Linked DNA regions of Arabidopsis thaliana. The protein of the gene in region 1 interacts with the protein of each later gene in a biochemical or structural test. Each region holds a gene or a part of one and is shown on either strand. Other genes may lie near its edges.

Region 1 (4,613 bases):
GAAAGGTATAAACATAATGTCAGAGATTAGAGACAACAGAATTGGATACAAAGCAGGAGCATTAAAGGCAGGAATGATGCACAACTATGTGAAACAATGCGAATTCGTCGCCATTTTCGATGCTGATTTTCAGCCTGATCCTGACTTTCTTGAACGAACCATTCCTTTTCTTATTCACAACCATGAAATCTCTCTTGTTCAATGCCGTTGGAAGTTTGGTAAAGTCATATCTTTTTTGAAAAATAATAGTTATTATTTTGTTAAGTCAAATTGGCTAATGGAGAGAATGTGTTACATGTAGTGAATGCAAACGAGTGCTTAATGACAAGAATGCAAGAGATGTCACTAAACTACCATTTTGTGGCTGAGCAAGAATCTGGATCTTCAATACATGCTTTCTTTGGATTCAATGGAACCGCGGGTGTATGGAGAATCGCAGCTTTAAACGAAGCTGGAGGATGGAAAGATCGAACAACCGTAGAAGATATGGATTTAGCAGTAAGAGCTTGTCTTCATGGTTGGAAATTTGTCTATGTCCATGACGTCGAGGTACTACTACTATAACCCTTTTAAACTCAAGCAAAACATAACAAGATTTCATTCAAGACATTATTAAGTAATCTAACATTTCAGGTGAAAAATGAATTGCCAAGTACATTCAAAGCATACAGGTTTCAGCAACATAGATGGTCTTGTGGACCAGCTAATCTATGGAGGAAGATGACAATGGAAATCTTACAGAACAAGAAAGTGTCGGCCTGGAAGAAATTGTATCTCATATACAATTTCTTCTTCATAAGGAAGATTGTAGTACACATCTTCACATTTGTCTTCTACTGTCTGATATTACCAACAACTGTGCTATTCCCTGAGCTCCAAGTTCCTAAATGGGCAACTGTTTATTTTCCTACTACAATCACTATCCTTAACGCAATCGCTACACCTCGGTAACAACATCTCTACTGTTCAAGTAAAACTCTGTTTTCTCATTTCCTAGTATGATAAAAAGTTTGACATATATTGTCTACTGCAGATCACTCCATCTTCTTGTCTTTTGGATCTTATTCGAGAATGTAATGTCGATGCATCGCACAAAAGCGACATTCATCGGGTTACTAGAGGCAGGACGGGTTAACGAATGGGTTGTTACTGAAAAATTAGGTGACACTCTCAAGTCTAAGTTAATAGGTAAAGCTACAACTAAGCTTTATACCAGATTTGGACAAAGGTACTCTTAACTTAAAAACACACACACAATTACAATTTTTAAGCATTTTGAAATGTTGTAACTAATTTTAGTTAACATTTTGCAGACTCAACTGGAGAGAACTCGTTGTTGGATTATATATATTCTTCTGCGGATGTTACGATTTCGCATATGGAGGATCATACTTTTATGTTTATCTGTTTTTACAGTCTTGTGCATTTTTTGTTGCTGGAGTTGGTTATATTGGCACATTTGTTCCAACTGTTTAGATTAGACTTTTGTATTTGAGAGCAAATGTGTTTTTGCTATTTGATTAGACCAAATTAGAGATTGGATCTTGGTTACTTAAACCAAGTTAACTCTTCCAATATTCATACTCAAAATGTAATTTTTTAAATGGTGTTATGATCTTAAAATTTGGTTATCGATCATATTCATACGTAACATTTTATGAATTTGTATTTGCCAATTGTGTTCTAGAAAGAAAATTGAGAGAAACATACAAAAAAAACAAGTCAACGTCAATGATTTAAGATGTTGAAAATGACATGGCGGTTTTGGATTGGTTAGATGCAATCCACGGCCAATGACCCATCACGCATGTAAACCGCGTAAGCACAAGGCCCCTCCACGAAAACATTCGTCGAGGGGTATTCTAGGTATTACCGGTGATAATTTATGTGAATTGACGTTTTTATCCTTTGCCTCTATAAAGATCTTCTTCCGTTTTTGCAATTACGGCGTCGCGCATTTAGCGTTGTTTTGAAGCTCTCTCTTTCAAATTCTGTTCGTCTCTCGCGATCTCTCTCTCTCTCTCAGATAGCTCCGAAACTTTCACGCAGAGGTATTATTGATCTAGATCTGAGCTAAGGCATTCTCAATTTTGATTGTTTCAGTGTGTTCTTAGGTTGGGAATTGAATATTCTTGCTTCGATTTAGGATTTTTCTTATGATGATCCGTTGTATCTTTGGGTAATGCTTTGGATTTCGATGTTTTTGGTTGAAAATTCTGATTTCGATCTGCTGCTGCATCGTTTCAAGTCTGGATCTATGAACATTATCTTCGATTTCACCTTTTTCTCGTTGTAATTGCTTCAATTAGATTCTGAATTCCGCAAGATCTATACGATGAGGTTTTGTAAACGTTGTTGCATCTGTTTCGATCTGCGTTATTCTAATGATTTATAGTCAACATTTGGAGTTCTCGCTGGTGATCTCTCTTTATGTGATATTGATACTCTGTTTCTGTGTGTTAGTTAAGTGAAGCAGGATGGGATTGTCATTCGCCAAGCTTTTTAGCAGGCTTTTTGCCAAGAAGGAGATGAGAATTCTGATGGTTGGTCTTGATGCTGCTGGTAAGACCACCATTTTGTACAAGCTCAAGCTCGGAGAGATTGTAACCACCATTCCCACTATTGGTAAGCTTAAACATCATTTCATAATTCAGTGTTTCAAAAGCTTAGTTCCATCAACTTTGTTCATACCATTCATACAAAATTTTGTCTTCCACCTGCCGTGATGATTAAACTACTACAAACTGTGGACAGGGTTCAATGTGGAGACTGTGGAGTACAAGAACATCAGTTTCACAGTGTGGGATGTCGGCGGTCAGGATAAGGTATAAGATTATCCAACTCTAAAGCATTAAGAATTCTTTTTTTTTTGCATCACTACCTGGGGATCTTTTTCCTACTGTGTCTTGGTATTATTGTTGATGAACATAGAATTACACAAACTCACATGTCGCAAAACCTCCACTTCTTGTTGTCAGATCCGTCCCTTGTGGAGGCATTACTTCCAGAACACCCAAGGTCTTATCTTTGTGGTGGACAGCAATGACAGAGACCGTGTTGTTGAGGCTAGAGATGAATTGCACCGAATGTTGAATGAGGTCTGTATCAAGTGTTATATCTTTGCCTGTTGTATTGAATTCTTCATGTTTAGATGATTCAGTAAACTGTTTGTCGGGGTTTTACAGGACGAGCTGCGTGATGCTGTTCTGCTCGTATTTGCTAACAAGCAGGATCTCCCAAATGCTATGAATGCAGCTGAGATCACGGATAAGCTTGGTCTCCACTCTCTCCGTCAGCGTCACTGGTAAATAAAAACATTATAATCTCCCCTGCTTCCCTCATGTTGATTTGTTCTCCTGCACATAACGTTTCTTATGATATAGTTCCAAAGATTTATCACCTCTCTGATTGATTTTATGTCTACGAACTCTCTCCAGGTACATCCAGAGCACATGTGCCACTTCAGGCGAGGGGCTTTACGAAGGTCTTGACTGGTTGTCCAACAACATTGCCGGCAAGGTAAATTATCACAAACAACAATTTTGATTTGTGGATCAGTATTTTGAAGCAAATCGTGATTCTTGTTTCTGTGTTCTTGTTACTGGTTGTGCAGGCGTAGAGGGAAAGTTCGTGGTGGAGTTGATTTGCTGAGCAAATCTGGATGCAGGGGCAAACATTATCTGAATTTTTTTTTTGGTTTCCGTTTTCGTTATTGTTCTGCTTTTTTTTTTGGGATATGTCGATGGATTTTGTGATTGTACGTAGAACTTAGAAAAAAACTACCTTTTATATAGTTTTGGTAAAACTGTAATCGAAGATTTCACCTACTGCTTTCGTGGTTTTGGTCACATTTTACTTGTGCACTTTGATTCATATGTTGGAATGCGGTTTCGTTGGCACCTGCTACACGAAACTTGATGATTTTGCTAGTATTTGTCATATGAATCAAGTAGAGGAAAGCCATGACCAGTAGGCGAAATGCTAGAGTGTGGCAGAAGAGGAATGAGTAGACAATTTAATCATAAATCCACTTGTTTGAAAAAAAAGTTAACATTCAAAATTCTTTGCTGGCATCCTCTAATCCCTTTAATATTTCCAAATTCTCGCACTTTTTGAACACCACATTCATTTTTGTCAGAATATTGCGTTCTTAATTTGTCTAGAATAAGCACACTAAAACTAATAATTATCTTAACAACCATGGAATAACATAAATTATCTGTTTTTCTTTATAATATTTTTGTAGAATTGTAGGTTAATGAAATGTATAAATTGTGATTCTAAGAGTATATATGAATAGTACAATTGTACGGTTGGAACTATTTTGCGGATTACTGTTCAAAATTAATGTGTTTAAAGGTCACTGATTTACTTTCTTATTCTGCCAGCCATTAAGGGAACGTTAATCATCATTTTGACTAGAGTGATAGTTGCAAGGACGATATTAAATACAGTATTTGATAAGCAATTAAGGAAAATAAAAGAAACAGAAACAGAAACAGAAGATTTGAGTTTATTGAAGAAGGAATTTAGAGTGATTGGAGTTTTAATAAGTTTTGAGATGATTTTGGTGAATTTTGGTGAATTAGGAAATTTGTCACTAAAATTTCCTC
Region 2 (4,910 bases), on another chromosome or scaffold:
TGGTTCAGGATGTCGGATTATTGAATGGAAGTGTGAACTGGTCCGGTTTGAACGATAGAACATAAAACGTGACAGAGACATGCTCTCTCTGTCATCCTTCATTGACCAACTTCTCTTCGTTATAATTAAAATTTTAAAATACAAACATGAAATGAGACGTGAAATGAAATTATGACATGCATTCATTAACCAATTTGCATCGTATACGTTAAGCAAGCTTAGCCTTCCTTAAGTTTCAAACTTTCAACATTCCAAAGAGACATTGCTTGGTATATCGAGATTTAGTTAGTGTGAAGTCATAGTATTTCTTCCATAATGTTTCATCTCCGCTTAACACCGCCATTTTCGGACATAACACCTCTATTTATCTACTTCTTTTCCTCAAGGTACTGAAGAAATTTATGTATGAAATAAGCTGAGAAAAACGTTATAACCCATTTTCTTTTTGACGTACTGAAAATTCATTCTGAATATGTAAATCCGTAATCCGATCAGATCCCGGTAAACTAGAAATTCAGTGAAGTAAGAAACGATAGCAACCCGACCAAAAGTAGTATGCGAATGAGAAAGAAGACAATAAAACGGAAAATTTGTCTTTTGTGATCATTACAAATTTCAAGAAAAATAAAAGTTTGAATCTCAAAAAAAGAGCTGAAGACTAACCCGAATAGTTTAGCAAGCAATCCTCTGTGACTGTGAAACTTGTACAAATAAAAAAAAAAACTATATATATTGTAGAAGAACAAATAGTGACGATCGATTTGATTGAACGCCAAGCAATTGATATGTGAAAAGAAAGACCAGTGGTGGCTTAATGGTTGAGATGACCACTCTGCTCTCTCTTGTGACAGAGCACGAGAAGACCACAGGCTCTGCTATTCCTTAATTGTACAAACTTCATTCACCATTATCCTGTAACACCTGCGATTTAGGGAATAGTGTTTTGTGGTGATTATATAGACGTTTACATATTCGATTCGTTTAACTTGATTTGGTGCTTACCGTTAGAGAAAACCTCCACCGGTCCAAGCAGTGTCTGATTTCCCATTGTGACCTACAGATTTCTTATCGCTTGCAGGCTGATAATAGAAATCATCATCTTTAGCATCATTATCATCCCAACCAGCCCAACCGCCGTCGTCATCATCATTAGAAGTCGACACCTTTGGTGCTGCTTCCTTTTTGCTATTGTTCTCTTCTCCCCAGTCATCCCAAGAATTCGAGTTACGATAACTGTTGTTGTGACCACTTGATGATGATTGTGATCCTCCAAAAGATGAATTTGCTGTTTTGTTTCCAATCCCAGAGTTCTGGTAGTAACCGTTGCCCTCAGTTTTATTCTGTTGATTCCAAGTTGATGCTTCTTCTTTAGTGAACTCTTCAACCTTTTGTGAGGCAATTGCCATCACTCCTTTCATGATCCCCCATGTCCTCTGTCCTATCTCTGTTGTCTTACTCGCAACAACATTAACAGTCTCACTGACCGTCTGATCTAAGCCACCTTCTTTGACCTGCACAATGAACAAAGGTTTCTTATCTCACTTGTCTTCAAAATTCTATAATTTCTAATGTTAGCAGTATTTGAAAAGAAGGACGAGCATCCGGCATTATGCTCAGTTCAGCGTTTTAGAGGATCTCCCTAGAGATTTTGCAGGGGCATAAAGACAAAAAAAAAAAAAAAGAGCTTTAACACTGCAATTAAAGTAAGAAGATTATGCAGCTAGAAAAGACTCTAATTTTGTGTTACATAACAATGTCAAAAATGGGATAATCTAACAAACAGAGCAATGAGCATAGCGGCAATTAGACAGACACCAAGCGAATAGTCACGATCTCAATATAAACTTAACAACTAGACTACAGAATGTTACCAAGGAGTGAGCTTACTGATCACGATGCAAACGAATCAACCACAACATCGAAGCAGAAATGATAAAAGAAGTACCTTGGAAGTAAACTCCATGGTTCCAGTCTGAACAACATTTGCAGCTGATGCAGCAACAAGAGACAATCTTCCAAAACCCTATAAGCATATACGCGTAAAACAAACACATTCATTTACAGGATAAACAGAGAAGTCACTCGCATGTCGCATCTAACCAAATCACTCTCAAAAAGCTTCCAAATTTACCTCAGACATAACAGAGAAAACATCACCACCACCACTCTGTTGATTGCTTCTCGGAGCTGGACCTGGACTAGATCCAAACCCAACATACTTACCACCTTGTGAAGGAGGAAGTCCCTCAGGCTTAGACTCATTCTCAGCCATCCTTTTCGCAAAGAAACTCTCCTTATTCGCCGCCGACGCCTCCAGCTGAGACCGTGAATATATATCCTCAGACGATTTCGACTTCGCCGGAGCACCACGACCTCCCGATGACCTAAAATCACCCGCCGATTGATTCCTCCTCATATCCGTAGATCTAAACGAATCATCGTTATCCCAATTATCCCATCCACCATTACCAGAATCTCTACCACCGCCTTGAGACAACGGAGGCTTCTTATTCATCAATCCACCACCAACCGATTCCTTAACAATCGGCGGATCTCTCCATTGTCTTCCCTCAGCTAAAGCTTGGATCCGATCTCGATACACAGACGCGGCGTTGGAATTGTACTTGGAGATGATATCAGTCTCTTTCGAGATCCCGTACTGAGCGAGAAAATTGTTGAGACGCTCGTTGCCTCCAGCGTCCATTTTCTTGATCTGGATCTCGGACCATGAATCCATGGTGACGGATCTGACGAATGAGATGTGAACACCTAAACCACGGTGCTTACCGGAGCATTCCAAGCACATGAAGATTCCATATGAAATCGATGCCCATTGTGGATTCTTCTGGGAGCAATCGACACAGACCTTGTTCTCCGGCTGAGATTGGAGCGTCCGTAATCGTCTCGCCGCTGCCATTATATTGCCGGCTCTCCGATCTGACCCCTGACTAGATCTGATCCAGGTTCCAGATTCTGATGCGTTTTTTTTGGCTCAATCGTTTTGCTTAATAAACGTGGTAACTTGAATAATTTTGTGCGTGTTTTTGTCACGTGAGAGCTTCACTCAATATTTCCAAGGTCTCTGCTAAAAACGTGTTTGCTCAAAAAGCATGGGCTTTGGTCGCTTCGATATCGGGCCGGGTCTGGAAGGAACAACCAAAAAAACTAAAACTACTCTCGTTTTCTTCTTCCGCTCAACCCTAACTTGTGGAAGTCAGTTTAAAGTCCAGGTGAGCATTAAGACACCAAATGTCCTTGCTGTGAATATGAACGGGAGAACAACTGATGGGGGTCTGAAGAAGGAATTAACTGAAGTGATGAAGCAGGGACAGATTCTGAGTGTCAAGGTTTGTTTCTTGTTCATTGATTGTTATGCATTGCACTGTTTTAAACCATAAGTCTTTGATGATATTCTTTTATTTTTCACTAATAAGCAGATAAAAAAAGATTGGTACTGGAATTGTCCAACAGGTGAACCTAATGTAGAGTCTTATTAACATAACTAAAGGCCAAAAAGCGGCAGAACACTTCATGAAGCATGGACTTGAGGAATTGTTCAGCTTCACATTATTCCGGTCCACGTGTCTGGTACGGTAGAGTAGCCAAATCCCAGCAAAGTCACAGTTACCAGAATTTACTCTTTCATTCTGAATTGTTGTATCTTTTTCTTTCTTTTCTTTTGAACTCAAATCCTTGTTATCTCCCTGTTGACTATCTTTTTAGAACAATAATGCTCATTAGAAGCTTTTCAACTCTAGTTATATATTATTTTCCAATGCACAAATTATAACATTTGATTCATTCATTCAAACAATTAGAACATTTCATACAAATCCCTAACAACAGCTGAGAAATCTCAACTCCCCCAATTAACAAATCTCAATAGGCCATAGCCGTCACAGTCTTTCTGTCACAGCCATGTGATTTTGTGAACATCACATATAGACCGTTGGATCTGTTGTCATCCGTATCATCACATCGGAACCGTTTAATTTTTATGATTGTGAAACGACGACGTAAAGTTGTTAACCGGGAAAGACGAAGAAAAACGCGCGGGAAAATTGAGAGACTGCATCTTAATCATCGTAGGGATTCTCTATTTTTTGGAATCTGATTCATATGTTTGGGGTTTAATAGTCTCAGCTCAAATAAATCTAGGTTAAACTGTGTGGATCGATTCATATATTCTCCGTCAAAACCAAAACCAAACCGATTTGTCATAATTTTTTCTTATCATCCACTTTCATTGGCTAGAGGGACATTGTAACGGTGTCGTCGTCGCCAAACGATTTGCCTCTTCCTAAAGGTATGTTCTTTCATTTCTCTCAGTGCCCCTTTGCGTATTTCAGCTTCTTCTTTACGATCTAATTCATTTCTATGTTTCGTTTGATTCTTTGTTCAATTCTGAATTGAGAAAATGGCGATTCGAGATCTATCTTTTCGGTTTTTCATGTAAGAATATAATCTAGCTTTGGTGTTTGTATTGGTTTACTTGTGGGAAGAAAAGTCTTTCTCTTTGGGACTTTAAACTTTAATTACTTAACTCCAACATCATCATAGTTGGGTTCTGTTTGCGAGATTCATTCTGTTTAGTTCAGTTCTCTTATAGCAGCAATAACATATTGATTGATGGCATCAATCTTGTGATGGAACCATGGGAATTCAGAGTTCAGGGAGGATTGATTAATTAGAATCTCATATTTATGAGAGAATAAGAGAACTGATGTGTGTTTCTTTTCCTATGTATGTTGTGCACTTTCCTATTTCTATAAGCTCTTCAGGATAACAACAGTTGATTGGGTCTGAATTACCGTGTGTTAAAGTGTGTTTTCGGAATTACCGTAATTCCCCTTCTGTGTAGCTTTTGGCGATTGGGTCTGATCCAATTCTTACCAGCTTCATACCATTGT

The links. The genes of interacting proteins can lie anywhere in the genome.
Region 2: the proteins of ARF1 (region 1) and AGD7 form a complex in vitro, tested with the Arabidopsis thaliana proteins (one study listed by BioGRID).

What each region holds. Positions count from the first base shown.
Region 1 is NC_003070.9:8,334,755-8,339,367, forward strand, and holds ARF1 (ADP-ribosylation factor 1), read left to right. Parts: upstream 1-1,838; 5' UTR 1,839-2,051; intron 2,052-2,463; 5' UTR 2,464-2,477; coding exon 2,478-2,625; intron 2,626-2,754; coding exon 2,755-2,825; intron 2,826-2,978; coding exon 2,979-3,098; intron 3,099-3,185; coding exon 3,186-3,304; intron 3,305-3,437; coding exon 3,438-3,519; intron 3,520-3,613; coding exon 3,614-3,619; 3' UTR 3,620-4,073; downstream 4,074-4,613. Other genes in the region: CSLA03 (cellulose synthase-like A3), read left to right, coding at 1-218, 302-549, 634-947, 1,034-1,228, 1,314-1,476. UniProt on the Arabidopsis thaliana protein: GTP-binding protein involved in protein trafficking; may modulate vesicle budding and uncoating within the Golgi apparatus.
Region 2 is NC_003071.7:15,754,540-15,759,449, forward strand, and holds AGD7 (ARF-GAP domain 7), read right to left. Parts: upstream 3,063-4,910; 5' UTR 2,918-3,062; coding exon 2,132-2,917; intron 2,024-2,131; coding exon 1,946-2,023; intron 1,512-1,945; coding exon 1,005-1,511; 3' UTR 1,003-1,004; intron 922-1,002; 3' UTR 539-921; downstream 1-538. UniProt on the Arabidopsis thaliana protein: GTPase-activating protein (GAP) for ADP ribosylation factor (ARF). Involved in protein trafficking by controlling ARF1 activity; may participate in COPI vesicle formation at the Golgi complex.